2 linked regions of the Mytilus edulis genome follow. The protein of the gene in region 2 interacts with the protein of the main gene of each other region in a pairwise test. Links are inferred from orthologs where the notes say so. Each region holds a gene or a part of one and is shown on either strand. Other genes may lie near its edges.

The links.
Region 1: the proteins of serine/threonine-protein kinase NLK-like (region 2) and dihydrolipoyllysine-residue acetyltransferase component of pyruvate dehydrogenase complex-like interact in a two-hybrid assay, tested with the Caenorhabditis elegans proteins (2 studies listed by BioGRID, with this or other methods). The link is inferred for Mytilus edulis from reciprocal best matches to the Caenorhabditis elegans genes lit-1 and dlat-1.

The regions. Positions count from the first base shown.
Region 1 is NC_092355.1:10,360,358-10,368,350, reverse strand, and holds the start of dihydrolipoyllysine-residue acetyltransferase component of pyruvate dehydrogenase complex-like, read left to right. Parts: upstream 1-4,938; 5' UTR 4,939-4,998; coding exon 4,999-5,108; intron 5,109-7,507; coding exon 7,508-7,581; intron 7,582-7,993. Other genes in the region: MORN repeat-containing protein 2-like, read right to left, coding at 1,155-1,172, 4,676-4,685. UniProt on the Caenorhabditis elegans protein: The pyruvate dehydrogenase complex catalyzes the overall conversion of pyruvate to acetyl-CoA and CO(2).
Region 2 is NC_092349.1:90,583,139-90,590,983, forward strand, and holds the start of serine/threonine-protein kinase NLK-like, read left to right. Parts: upstream 1-4,820; 5' UTR 4,821-5,357; coding exon 5,358-5,539; intron 5,540-7,453; coding exon 7,454-7,583; intron 7,584-7,845. UniProt on the Caenorhabditis elegans protein: Has a role in the Wnt signaling pathway controlling the asymmetry of cell divisions during embryogenesis. Operates in the AB and EMS cell lineages influencing cell specification.

The sequences.
Region 1 (7,993 bases), on a different chromosome or scaffold from region 2:
ATATCTGATCTTCTAACCAATCAATTACCAAGACGAGCAAAATTTCTGCACCTATATTGTATTTTCATTATTTTTAAGCTAATATATTAGCTTTGAGAACCTAAAATTGATAAAACTGTAACTGTAATAATGTCAGCTGCTGTGCAAAGTGTTTTTCTTTTGAGATACGATATTTTCACACAACAAAATGTCTCACCAATCCGACTACACTATTTCGTCACATGTCAGAATTCGGGTTAATGATTGGTTAGAAGATCAGATATTCTCGCATACAGTGGAACATACATATTTAATTCTAAATCTTCGATAAAAAGATTTCCGCAAAAAATTGAGATACGAGGTTTTTGCATAACAGCGACGATATGTAGTTTGTCTTTGTTAATCTTTACAATGTACTGATAATTATTGGAGTAAACTTTAAAAGAAATATTGCTCTCAATTTATTTAAATATGTTTAAAAAGGGCTTTTCAGTGGCGGATGGATCCAGAACTTTTCATAAGCGGGGGCCTGCTCCAGTCATGCTTCAGTGATTCCCTATATAATCAAATATCAAATTTTTTCCATGAAAGCCCCCCCCTCCTGAATCTGCCTATGCTATTATTTTCTATTTCAAAGTCATAGTGCATACACACAATACATATGAAACATAATCTTTAATTTGATACATAAATCAAGACCAATTGGACATCCACCAACCACCATACATCTTATATAAAAACACAAATTACAGCTTGGTTTAATCAAATGGTAAATTTCCTCAGACTGTTTCAGATTCTTGAAATAAATACTGGAAAACAATACTCATATTAAGGCAGAGCAAAAATGGCTTGTTTCAGCAATATTTATTTTGTTTGTTTTTTTTATTGTTTGGTTATGTCTTTAAAATGTAATACAAAAAGCTTTAATCACAAACATTCACATATAGTGTTAGTTGATTTGAGTTGCTGGAAACTACTTCTATGAAATTACGTCATGTCAAACAGGTGGATACAGAATTTTACTGTGGTTTTCAAATGCAATGTGAAAACAATGCAAAAAATAAGAATACAATTTCATTTTAAATAATTTCTGAGAAGTAGTTTCACAACAATAAAACACATTTTACAACAACATTTTTATTCATATTTAGATTCACACAAACACGACAAATTACCTTCAACTATTTGATTTTCTGAAATATTTTTAAAATTTAAGATTTGTTTTTACTTCTTTACCAAGAGACAATCATGGTGAAAAGTTTCAATCTTGTTCATTGAACTGAATGTTACAGTTTCTTCTTTTGTTGTGCTCTTTCATCACTGTCCCAGTTTAGAGGGGGGCTAAGCACCAACAGATATGTTCAACCCCTCCACATTCTTTATGTCCCTGTCCAAAGAACCTGTAGTTTAGTGGCAGTCTTCACGATGAACTGCTAGATCTACAGGCCCAGAGCTCAATTTTTGAAAATTTTTAGTTAGATTCTGTTGGCCTGAGGATATGATTTTTACAGGCCCGAGAGCAATTTTACAAGCCTAGGCTGCCTGGGTTGCCACTCAGCATGAAGACTGTAGTGGTGGTCATTGATTCATGTCTGTCATATTTGTTTTTCATAAATTGTTTTGTTATAAATAGGCCATTACTTTTCTCAATTGAATTGTTTCATATTTTTTCATTTCAGGTCCTTTTATAGCAGACTTTACAATATGGTTTTTTTCAATGTTATAGGCTGTATGGTAGCCTTTAATTGGTTACATCCACTTCATTTGAACTTCGGTGCATATATGTCTCATACCATACATGTACATCATCTCCTAAACTTTTTTACAAATAAAACCTTTTTGTTGTTCTTATGATAAGTGTTTTCTCAGAAAATTTAATAAAAGAAATTAAGCAAGTGAATAACTTAAATTTAACATCGATGGATTTTTTTTTATCTTTAATTGCTTCACTGCACATGCTGTAGGCTATATATTTCTTTTTTCATTTTAATACTTGGCTCTAAATTTTTAAGCTATCATTTTTATGTTAACCTTAATGTATAAAAACAAAGTAAAACATAAATCCAATTGATGGTTATAGAGTATAATGGGCCAAGTAAATGACAGTGGACAAAATGAATTATAAAAAAAGTGAAAACTTTCATCAAATTAAAACTTATATGTGTTGTATTGAAAAACAATTGATGCAGGCAATACTGTAAACCAACTTATTTTCGCGACTTTCGCGAGTAAAAAAATAACGCGAATTTAAATCGTAGTGAATATGGAAAGCTTGGATAATTCCTTTTTAAACTTCATCAAGTCAATTAGAAAATCGCGAAATTAAATAGCTGCGAAGTGGTCATGAAAGGGTAAAACGCGAAAAAAAGTATCCGCGAAAATAAGTTGGTTTACAGTAGTCTCAAAAGTTTCTTAAATTCAATGGTATGGTTGAAACATTTCACTAATTTAATAGTTGACAATATATTTCTACAAATACAAAGTCTTTGTGTAAGATCTAGATGTTTAAGTTTGAATATATTTCAGTTAAGAAGTTGAATTAAATATAAAATGTGATTTTAAAATGATAAACAAATGAAGTTAATACATGTAATATTAGCTGAGGAAATGTAGTAGTCATTTTAATTGATAATATATTGTGCTTAAGAGTTTTATAGATTTTAAATTAAAAGAGTTATCAATTATGTGAGCAGTATAACAGAACTAATTGCTGCTACAATAAAAAACACAATGTGATTCATTACAATATTATAAGTTATGGTAATTATAACACCACGCAAATGAGATGTGAAGATCATTGATGTTAAAATGTACACAGAGTTCTGTAAACTAACAGTTTATTATCACAACTCCCTTGAATTTAAATATAAATATACTTAATAATTAAGGGTTTTACAATTTGTTTATTTCTTATAAAATAGTTAATAAGTTACATTAGCATAATAGACGTAATTTGATTCCTCTTTTGCTCAGAAAAAGTCACCTTATGTTTTGTGTACATTAAATAGAAGAACTCATTTAAAAATAGGAGCTATAAATTGAATGGTCTTTTGATGTCTCTAATTCTTTTTAGAAACATTTTGCTTTGTATCAACATGATCAATATTTTAAGAAATAAAAAGTAAAATCACAAAAATAATGAACTCTGAGGAAAATTCAAAATGGAAAGTCCCTAATCCTTAAATCAAACGGCAAAATCAAATGATAAAACACATCAAACAAATGGACAACAACTGTCATATTTCTGACTTTTTTTACACAAGATTGGTCGATTATTTTTAAGCATGACATGTGAAAGTCAAATAATTAAGTGTAAAAACAGGAAACAAAGTCCAGCATGACAAAGGAAATTACATTTATGAGCTAGAAAGGGGACCCCCTATTAAAGAAGAAAATAATAGAAAAAAAAACTTGTATTTTAAATTTAAAAAAAATTCCCGCAAAAATATCATTCTATTTATTTACTCAAATTTGTTTTAAAAAATCAGACTTTTTTATTTTCCTGCATCTGCGCAGAAATCTACTTCCTTCTTTCGGTCTTGTTTGTCATGAGAATATATATACATGTATATAGTAAAATATAGGGTAACACGAATGACCGAATAACACTGTTATTATCGGAATAACACTTGTAATGACTGAATAACACTTGAAATTTTAATATTAGCACATATTGGTGACTTTTAAACATTGATTATTAAATAATAATATATTATCTATGTATTTTATATGGGGACGAAGTCCCCAATTACGGTAGAAAAATCAATAAAAAAAAAAAAAAAAAAAAATCGAGAAAATGTCCTGAATTTTTCATTCTACTAATGAACTCAAAATCGTTAACTTTTTTTTCAGATCTACATCCGTTTCCGGTCTTGTTTGCATGAGACTTTGAAAAAAATGTATATTTACATGTATCATAAAATTGAGAATGGAAATGGGGAATGTGTCAAAGAGACAACAACCCGACCAAATAAAAAACAACAGCAGAGGGTCACCAACAGGTCTTCAATGTAGCGAGAAATTCCCGCACCCGGAGGCGTCCTTCAACATATCAACAAATATAGGAAGGAATTTAACACTTAATCATTTTTAATAATTGTTTGATATCAAAAAGACGTTACCTTTTATTATAACAGCGTTTGTTTGTTTACATTGAATATGACGTCATAACTTAAATAACGTCACAACTAAATACCTACCAACAGAACCAATATCGGAAACGTTACTGTATTTCCATTTCTTTTATCAACATGTTTGAATTAAAAAAAATAATAATACAGACTTCGTCCCCATTCACCATGTTCACAGGTAATGCCTGCCTCATATTAACTTAAAAATGATTTACAGAAAGCAGTTAAGTTCATAAAGATCATTTAAAAATGTGTATGTACATCGAACATGGGGACCACAAAAATCACAATGGATGTACACACTAAATTATATATCTATAAGTCTAGTAAAATATTACATACAGACTTCAACCTTTTATAGGTTATGCCTGCCTCATATTATGGCAACTAGCAGGATACAGGATTGTCATAAAACAATATAAGGGCGATCTTGGATCAGTCTCCGATCCCCCTCCCCTTTTCCCCAATGTCAATGAGACCCCCATTATCAATTTATGGTCATTTTACATTTCAATTTTTAAAAACAATAAAAAAAAAAAATTCTTTTCCTATGGTCAATGTTATACCTGCAGGCATGTCTGTGTCAGGTAATCTGTTGAATAGTAAATTATAAAATCTGTGAACTAATAGATGGAGGCAGACATTTGTAAACAAAACACCATGGAAATGAACTCACGCGAGATATTAAACTTAAAATTAGTTTCGGATATATATGCAAACTCACAGAAAAATATAATAATTTCTCATTTTAAACCCTTAATTTCATTCTAAATTTATAATTGATCTATTTGAAAACAAAACGGAAACAAATAATCAAATAATATGTACGAAACTACCTGTGACATTGCTGCTGACATTGGACAACAAGTTGCAGACAACAAATTTCAAAATGTTTCGTCCAACACGACTTGCACGTGTATTGCTTAGACTACAAAGAAAACACAGCAACAATCTAAGAACACTTGCTACCAAAAATAATCAGTTTTATTTAAAATCAAGGTACAGACAAGAAATGTTTCACATTCGGCTTTCATGATGAAATCTGATGATCTGTTATATTATTTTATTATCTGTATGAGTACGTTGTCGATACCAATACTGGCTTTCATATAACGGTATGAGAGCGCTGCCGATTTATTGACGGGGCGTGAGAGCAGATTTAAAGTTTCTACGCTTGATGTGCGCACTACAGTGTCGTCAAAAGCTGGTTCCACTAGAATAATTATTTATCTTCTCTTGAAAAGGATTTTGACTCTTATGACAATTGTATAAACTTGTTTACGGTTGTACACAAATTTGTCTGTCATTATTAAAAAAAATACATACAAGGTCATGAAGGTCCTGCATAAAAGAGCATCACATTGACACAATAACATTTACAATGCTTATATCCTGTCTGACCTGGCCCCTTGAACTTTTGATGCATACAACAATCACTTTTCCATTGTGTCGTCAGATATTTTGTATTATGACCTCAAAATTTAAAGGAAACCCGTGTGATATCCAGTAATGGTGGACAAATAGTGATAAGGTGTATATTGACATTGACACAGCGTCAGCGTGATCAGTAACATATTTATTGACAAGATATTAATAAAATGTCTTCAAACTAGTTTTAAAGTGATGCCAGTGTATCAAACTTGTAACTTATCTCTGAACATGCAAAATGGTACAGAATGCAAAAAATAAAAAAATGGTGTTGAAATTGAATAACATTATAAATACTTTCCACAAATATTAATCAGATTTTTTGGTCATTTTATATGACAAAATATATCAACTTTATGAAAAAAAACTTGTATTTATTTACGATTAGAATTAGGTAGATTCATCATGTTCATTGAGCAGTTCAGATACATTTGTAGTTTTCAGTTAGACACATACATGTATATATAATCCATAAATCTCGTTAAGTCTCATGGAGTCAGAGATTTCATCAATATTTTATTCTAAAAAGCCTATTTTATTCATTTCCTGTTAAATATACTGTTCCCAGGCGTGATGGATATTTTAAAACCTGATCATGATTTATGAAACAAGAACATATGACCATAAAAGACTTAATTGCACTGTTAGCTATATATATAGATGGTTAGTATTTAGCTGAATTTATTTTTCTCCAAACGATGCAAGATATTTCTGAGAATTACCTTTAGACCTTGAGTAAAAATCACTTTACAGACCATTTCATTGAGTGTGTAGATAGAGGTAATATCTTTGGTTTGCTTGCTTGCTGAACCATGAAGTCATTATTAAAACAATATCCAGGCTGACTGGTTGGGATGTCTCTTTGGCACATTACCCATTTCCATTCTCAATTTTATTTGAATTAGTCTCAGTTTACTTTTTAATGAAATCTTACTATACAAATCCTTGATGAAATGCAGGACAATTAACTATTATGAGAAATTAAGATAGTGTTTCCTACAGGTGGTTTTGGTGTGTAATGGCGCCCTGCCGCGATTTCTCGACGCCCTGCCCTTTTTGGGAAAAAAATTTGGCGCCCTGCCCTAGTTTTGTCGAAATTCCTGACGCCATACCTTTACGGTACTGAAAGACATATTTTATGAATACCGCTCGAGTTATTTCCCTTCAAACGTAAACAAAAGTTCACTAGGACGCCATTTTGTAATCGATTTCGTAATCAGCTGATTAGCAAACTGCAATAGATTGAAAAGTGAATACAGATACTAATCACGCGTCCTGATTGTATCCCCCAAGTCCCAGAAACATCGTTTTGCCTAGAAGATTATGATATGACATTGTTTTGACAAGAAACTAAACCGGAAAACGATTTCAAAACATCGATTGCTTAGATCAATATTTTTGACAGCTGATAGATATCTAATTTACATAATATACATTGTTTGCATGGTTGAACAAGCCAATGAATGTCGATCATGAGACATTTGTCAAAGTGAAAAGTAAAAATTCTTTGCAAACTATTTTTAAATACAAATGCTTGACTGTACCTTAAATGAAATGAATAAAAATCCAAACTAAATTATTAAAAGCAGAATAATCCAGAAAATAAATGAATTCCTTGATGAAATGTTGTCTTTTGTTTACAAACATGTCACATGATCATTTTAGGCGGGAAAAATACTTTGGAAAACACCTAAGTAACAGACAACTATTTCTGGCTATTTATAGACATTTAAAATAAACAGCTGATATGGTAGTGCCATGAAAGTAGTAAAACTTGGTGTATCTATATTAATTTAATTTGGAAATTATTTTTGTTTATGTTACCAGATGTAACTGGAACTACACACTATTTTATTTTCGCATAAACAAAAATAATTGAAGGAAAATTCTTGCTGATGATAAACCAACATAAAAAAATAATTTGCTTCTTCATATTTTTACTTTTTCCATATTTTTTGTCTGTTTTGTAGCAACACAACCAAAGATGTGCAGCAGCTTTTACAGGTTCACAGATTGGTCCAGAACTACCGATGTTATAGTTCAGGTATGATGTTCTTACATTTTATAGCAAATACACTATCATTTATTTTTTACTTGGTGCATAAATGTGTGTTTTCTTCTTGGTTCATATAAGTGTTTTCAATATAACATGTTAGTTGAAATTTTTCTCTGACACATTTTTTGATACTGAAAACAATGATTAAACTTATGGCAACTAGTGGCAGAAAGCTTTTCTATTTTGAAAATGTATCAATCTTGATTTTTTCTTCTATAGCACCTACAATCATGACAATGTATCAGTTAAAATTGATTGTCATGATTATGTGACATAATGTGTCACTTTGCTTTCCTTCAAATTTACATGTTTTGAATGGTTGAATTTGTGGAAAGTTATAATAAAATAAACAGAAAATGTCTATGGATAGTGATCAAGGCTAAAAACGGATTTACCACCA
Region 2 (7,845 bases):
TAATTAATATGTGATCATACAGAGGAAATGTTGTACAAGTTCTTCATATATATATATATTTCATTTTCTGACCAGTATATAATATGTCTTGTTGTTTTATATGTACTAATAGGTAAATCGTTGCATTTCTTTCACTTTCCACTTCAAAAGCCATGACTACCATGACTACACCAAATGTATTTCTATGTAAAACAACACTAAAAACAGAAAACAAAAAGTATTCTGCAAATTGTGGCAACTTTCCCTTGAATATGTAGTTTACCTCTACCCATCAAATCCATTAATAAAAATATATACATGGTATTTGGTTTTCAATGATATATAACCAGAAATACATTTACTTAACAGTTGATGCCCCATGCTTTAAACATTTATATTAAAACTCATTATAAATGCATCATTTAATTTCACTATTTATAGGGCAAAGTATACTCAATCATATTGCCTTCAAATGTATATTTAAATTTCATCAAAATAAGAAACAGATGAAATAAAATGTACATCGATATTTGAAAACAGAGAGACACTGGATCCAGAGGTCAGTTCTCTTTTAATTTGAAAATCTCCCTTGAAAGAACAGTCTTGTGAAAATCTGCACTTTATGAGATACAACTTAAGATGTTTCTCCAGTATAAGTCATAGTTTAATTTTTCGAAATTGTTAAATAATGTTGAACGATTATTTGTTAACTATAAACATATTGTCAAATGTGACTAATTATTTGTTTTAGCTCATTAATACAATGATTTATTTGAATGCTCTATAAAACAAAATAAAAGAGCAGAGTTCCAATGTGCTCTGTGTTGCACTTATTCTATATTTTCAAGAGACATACATAAATTAGGCCGTTAGTTTTCTCGTTTGAATTGTTTAACATTGTCATTTTGGGACCTTTTATAGCCGACTTATATAAGGTATGGGCTTTGCTCATTGTTAAAAGCCCTACGGTGACCTATAGTTGTTGATTTATGTGTTATTTTGGTCTTTTGTGGAGAGTTGTCTCATAGGCAATCATACCACATCGATAGGCGAATCCAGGCCCCCCCCCCCCATTCGTGGGGAAAATTTTGTTGATTATATAGGGAATCATGGAAGCATGACTAGAGAGGCCCCCCTTTAGGTCAGTCAGCGCCCCTCCTCCCCTCTTGATAAAGTAAAAATATCGATTGCATAATCCTTTAAATTACAGCCTAGAAAATTAAAGAAAATAACATTGTATTTATATAATTCTTTAGGATTACATAATCTAAATCTTTAAATAATGTTTTAAAAATACTTTGATATAGATAACATTATACAATATAGATAGACATTACGTATTATTTGTTTTTACAATCCATAAAGATGGTTATTATAATACAAAACATAATTCTGTCTTCATTAACAATCATGACCCAATTCTTTTAGTGTAATTTCATCCCCCCCCCCCCTATACTTGCTATTTGAGGCATAAAACATGGAGAAATACCTTTAGAAGGGGTATAGAAAAACTGTCAAGTAACACACTGTCCACAATAGGGTTTATATTTGTAAACACAAATCAAAGAAAGAAAATTGTGGTTTCGGTTGTCATGGGTCATGCCACACATTTTTAAACTAGATACCCCACTGATGCATGTGATGATTGTGGCCAAGTTTGGAATAATTTGGCCCAGTAGTTTCAGAGGAGAAGATTTTTGTAAAAGTTAACGACGTGGGACGCGGGACGCAAAGTGATGGGAAAAGCTCACTTGGCCCTTCTGGCCAGGTGAGCTAACAATCCAAACATATTTATAATCTTAAATAACTAAAATGCTATAAAAGCACATTTCTCTAATTTTAAAAAATATGTTTTCTTTCATTTTTATGTTGATAAGTGAATAATTGAACAAATCTTGTGTATGGACACAGATGTATGACAATGACATATCTCACTCATTACAATCTCAATCTTTTTCAATTAAATTAAAAACATCCAATCAAATTTTAGTAACCTTAGTTCTGAGTATTTTGAGATGGCTGTTATTATTACAAATATTACATTAAAAGTCAGGATGAAACATTGTAAGTTATAAAAATACATTGTCATATTTTAAGGACATGTCTATAAATTGTTTTATTAATCTAAACTATTTCATATATTTTTACAATACAATGGGAGACAAATCATGTTTAACAATTTTGATTTTTGATCAATATAGATTGTCTCCCTTATTTTAGAAAAATAAATTTAAGATGAATATCATTCTATTTATCAATTTCAACTGCAGTTAAGATTTGTTTTCTTCTGTAGAAAATACTATTTTATAAACAAATAGAATAGAGAATGGAAAAGGGGGAATGTGTGAAAGAGATGACAACAGAAAACAGCTCATGGCCAACAATGGGTCTAAATGCAGCAAGAAAATATTACACCCAGGAGCAGGCTTCAGAAGGCTGCATATATATATTTAAGTCTCTCACAACTGTTATAAATGTGATACGGTCTTTAGATCAATACATGTATTTGTAAAAAAAAAAAGTGTTGTTCTATTGATTGATGACATAGGTAATTGGAGACACTCCTCCCAGAAACATCTTGCCTTGAAACACCCTGCAACATAGCTTTAGTGAACAAGTCACATCAAATGCTCCAACATAAATATTAGGTAAAGGTCAACCCAAAATCTCTGAGAATGTTTTTTTCTTAGTAGCAATCTATAAAAAAAATTAGGATGGCATGCTTTCACATCTGTGAGAAAGTGATCTATAGAATGGTTTTACATTAACAGGTTTAAGTTCTTATAAGCTTGCTTTCAGTTATTGCAAGTATTATGTGATAACAGTATTATTTAACATTAAAGTGTGTTTTTCTTTATTAAAGCATTTTTTGTTGTTGAGTTTTTGATATCTATCATACTTTTATCCTAGACCTCAGTGCTTTTCTTGTATTGTTCTAATTGTATTTTTTATTTATCTTTTGATAGTCAGCTGTTGTGAGAAGTATATACTCTGTGGGAATCAGATCCATATTTTACCTACGATCGTTTGTAATTTTTGAGTAGTTTCTCTTCCATTGATTTCAATCTAAGATATATACCCAGTGACGTGTGTGAAAAAAGTCAAAGTGAACATTTAGGTCATATATTGACCTATAATGGTTTACTTTTTTGAAATTGTTATTTGGATGGAGAGTTGTCTCATTGGCACTCACACCACATCTTTCTATATCTATTTGTGACTGAACTAGTATTTTCTTTCCTTCTCTAATTAAAAGTATTACAGTAGTGGTCAATAAACTGGTTCCTCTTGCGTGACTGTGTGTGTCAGTGTGATTATCATGATGCTGATAGATTATCAGAGTTTAAAAACGCGAAAATGGAACAATATCTACAGGTCCAATTCTTACAAAACGTTTTTTTAGTGCTTGACATGATATTCATTTGCTACTTGCTAGTGCTGTTCACTTAGCTTTGAACTGTATGTATTGGTCCTCTTTGGTGATTTCTGATTTCCCCGCTTTTCTGAGTAGCCACCTACATGTCTGTTGTACACACATTAAATGTTAAATTTGTGTTACATATCTTCCACTTACAATTAAAACTATACATACCAGTTTTAAGGCAATAATCTTCTGTCTAAACTCCACATTACATAAGGCTCTCCAAGAATCAATGATCTGTTATATATAATGATGCTACATTGATCACTCAGTAGATGCCCTATCTTTAAATCAATCTAAAAATATCAATGAAATCTAATTTTATCTGATCAATTATTCCACATCTACATGGATCTATAAGTTCATTAGTTGTAACCATCTTTCCACAAGATAATTCAACAACTTTTCAAAATGGATACAATTTGCAACATGAAAAAAATAATAAAAAAAATAATAAATTTACAATTTTCGTAAAATCATTCTTGAAATTCATAGACTAGTATCACATCTTACATCTGAACATTTTTTTTTTTATTTTTCCCAATCCCTGTTAATTCTGCCCCAAAAAAACTTCGTTAAAAATCATGAAAAAAAGGAGGATGTTTTCCCTTACATGCATGACCCATCACCTGGAAAATAATTATGATTACTGACTTGATATTTATATACACATATATTTTGTTTTTATTTACACATTCCCATGTATTTAATATAGTTTAATAATAACTTATGCCAAAGCCCTACCCCCTCCCCCCCTATCTCAAATTTTGTAAGTCTGTTTAAAAGTCTAAAAATGAAGAATTTTTCCTTCCTTTTCTACCTCTTTTGAAGTTCAAACAACAATTGGAATGTAAGAAAAAAATCATAGTGCTTAAGGCTATCTTAAAAAAATGAATTAAGTTCATATTTAATTTCTCAATCATACTATTGAAAAACAATTTTAATCTCCTTGAAGTTCAGTTTTATAATTTTTTTTATTAGAAAAATAAAAAATTCTACAAAGTTTAGAAATTATTCTTTCATTAATTTTTCAAAGGATGGATTTTTTGCAAACATAAATGTATCAAAAAAAATAATAATTTTGTCTTTATTAATTTTTGTCTTTTTTTTCCATTCAATAAAGTTTTATTAAATATTTTAATTTGTACAAATCCATCAATTGAGCTTCATGATAGTTCAATTCGACAAATACATGAACAATTGTCCAATTAAACAATAAACAGATAATTATCAATAAGTAAATCCTAATTAACCAATTATACTCCATGTCATAAGAACATTGTTATTTTCCCAGTGTTTTTCAACATTTGTGTAATTGAAATTATCCTTATTCGGATTACGTGTATATATATTCGTAGGATGAGATTTTTATGACGTGATCAAAACATGAATAAAGAAAACAAGGCTTCCACAGTCTACATCAGTCCTTTGTCGTCATGATGATCACTTCCGTAAAAAGAAATAATTAGTGGGCGTGTCTTTCACAAACACGTGCTTTCGGTTTGACATATTGTTGAAGTCCTTCTTCAGTTACCGGACATTTTAAGAAAGTATGAGTCTTAAATGGATTGTATTATTTTGAGATTTTGATAACAACTATCTTAACATTTTTCATTGATTCCTAGATGTTTCGCTAGTGGATAATTGAAAAAGATTAATTAAATTTTACTTTTCTTTTCGTGACCTACAACAGACAACATTGCATTTTGGGAAAGATTGAAGCGTTGTCACGTGATTTCTTTGTGTGCCGTACTCGCGTGTGAGTCAGAACCCTGTCACCAAATAACACGAAATTATCTTTATGTTTTGGTAAATTTATATAAGATTTCAACACCAAACTCTCCAGTTAATTCGGAGAGTCATTAGTGAGTGTGGATGTATCGGACTTAGAAATGCAACAGTGAAATTTGAGCATTCCAAGCGTTTTTTTCGTGCAGGCAGTGTTCGTGGGGTTGTAATGGCAGTGGTTGGACATAGACACGCGAGGCATATCATGGCTTTTCAAGGAGGGGCACCACCCGCTCCATCTCAGCATGCAATCCTCACAGCAGCAGTAGCTGTCCCATACTTTCAGGTTGTTCCTCCTCAAGACGTACAACCCGACCGGCCAATCGGTTATGGGGCTTTTGGTGTTGTATGGTGAGTGTATATTTCTTTGTTCGTCTCGTGCAAGTCTGTTCATAGAATATTTTAAACAAAGAAATAATAATAAAATGTTCATTTTCATATTATTCAATTAGTCAAAATAAAAAAGAAACGGGTACCGTTCATTGCCTCATCTTCGTTTCAACTTCTTTGTTCTTGAAGTAATTTCTTTGTGACATTGTCACAAAATCAGCTGATTGTTCGTGACAATGTGAACACAATTTACCTTTTTACAAATAAAGCATTCCATTCATAATTTAACTGGATTGATAGATAATTGTTATCAATTAAACTTAATAGAAAAACGGTATAAGATACAAATTAAAATTTATATGAAATTATCTTGTACGGACAGGTGAAATATATTTTGGAATTCATTTCATTTGATGTGACTTTATATTTGATTAGTAGACATGAACTTAGAGAATTTGTTTTTGTTATGAATTAAAGATATGTTGGTCATTAAAAATAGTTAAGTATGATCCACAGTCAACTTTTAGCTTTTTGTAAACAATAATAGTTTCACAAAAAAAATATCAAAACATCTTGGAAAAAAAAATTCCAGGTTTCAGTTCACAGTTGTGGTCCAATTGTTAACCTTATATATCTATCAGTTTTAAAAAGAAAAAAATCCCATCCAGCTCACACAGAAGTTAAACATATACTTATATTTTATAGGATGTTCAACATGTTCAATGTAAACAAATGAAAATAAACAAAAGGGTATTCAAGATACATTGTCATGAATGTGGTCACTTTAAACTATATACAATCCAAAAAGAAGCAAACAAAAAAACGATCGTTTTAAAAGAATATGTTAATTTGAAGCATTATTTTTAACAACCCCAGCTGTCAGATACAATACTTGAAAAAGTAAAACGAAAATCTTTTTTAAACGAGACCTCATGCCAACTTCCTTTCTGTAAATTGGAAATTGTCTTAAACTACATATAAAATACCCATTTGTAAGTATATATTGATGCATTTGTATAGTTATGGGTAATACTACATGTTTATTATGTGTGACATGCACAAGTATTACTCAAGAAAATTGTGCTACATGTACATGTACCACATTCCTACATTATTTGTTTATGAAATTTTTATTCAAAAATCAAATCAGAACATGCAATCTGATTTTACGATTAATCAATTAAGTTTTCAAGTCAACTCTTAACCCTATCTTAAGTCTTAAATTGATATATTACATGTTACAAGAAGAATATTTTATATCTGAATTTTGTTGCGTTGTATACGTAAAGACAATTTAAATGCACAGAAACCTTGATGTTAAAATGTTGAACTTGTGATGAAAAGACATTAGTTCTAGGTGACTGTCCATAGTGATCATTGACAACTTTTAACAGGTCAAAAAAGTCATTTACATTTTATTCATAGAAGTTAATGACACCGAGGTAAATGACCACAAAAATTTCATGTCAAATTTTAACATGATCTCAAAATGTACTTAAAAAAGATAGATACTTTTTATATAGTTTTGATTTTAAAAGACATCGATATCAATATTGAAATTTGTAGTTGATACGGGTGAAAAAAGTATAAACAGTTGGTTGTTTGTTGTACAGAATTGATTCACATGACTGTGTTGTATGGTTGCTGTCTTTTTGACATTTATTCTTCATCTCATACAAAAGATTTATAATTCGCTTTGCAATTCCTGAAAATTATGACACATAAAGTTTGTATGAAAAAAATAATTGTATGATTGCTGGTGACTTTCAGTCTACTATTCATAAGTTCGTATGATGTGGATGTAAATAATTATAATCTCTTCCAAAACGAGCAAAACATGCACAACAAAGTCAGCTATGAAAGATCACAAATTTGAAACCATTCATAAATTTTATAATTTGGTCCACCATAATTGAAAGTTTAATCTATTTATAGGTCAGTGACGGACCCAAGAGATGGAAAGCGAGTGGCCCTGAAGAAAATGCCAAGTGTGTTCCAGAATTTAGTCTCCTCCAAGAGAGTATTCCGTGAACTGAGAATGCTTTGTCACTTTAAACACGACAACGTAAGTACAAGAACATGATGAAGATTTTTCAAAATATATATATATACCGTACATGTAAATCATCATGTACAAGTAATGTATTTAATTTATATAGTTCTAGCAACTCAAATCATTGCTTTGATTTGTCAGGTCTTTCATTATTACTCATTTATGCACAGCTTTGTAAAAGTTAAAATAACATAAAAACTGATCTCTGCTCGAGGAAAATTGGAAATTGAAGTCCATAGTCAAATAGCAAAATCAAATTCTCAAACACTGCTAC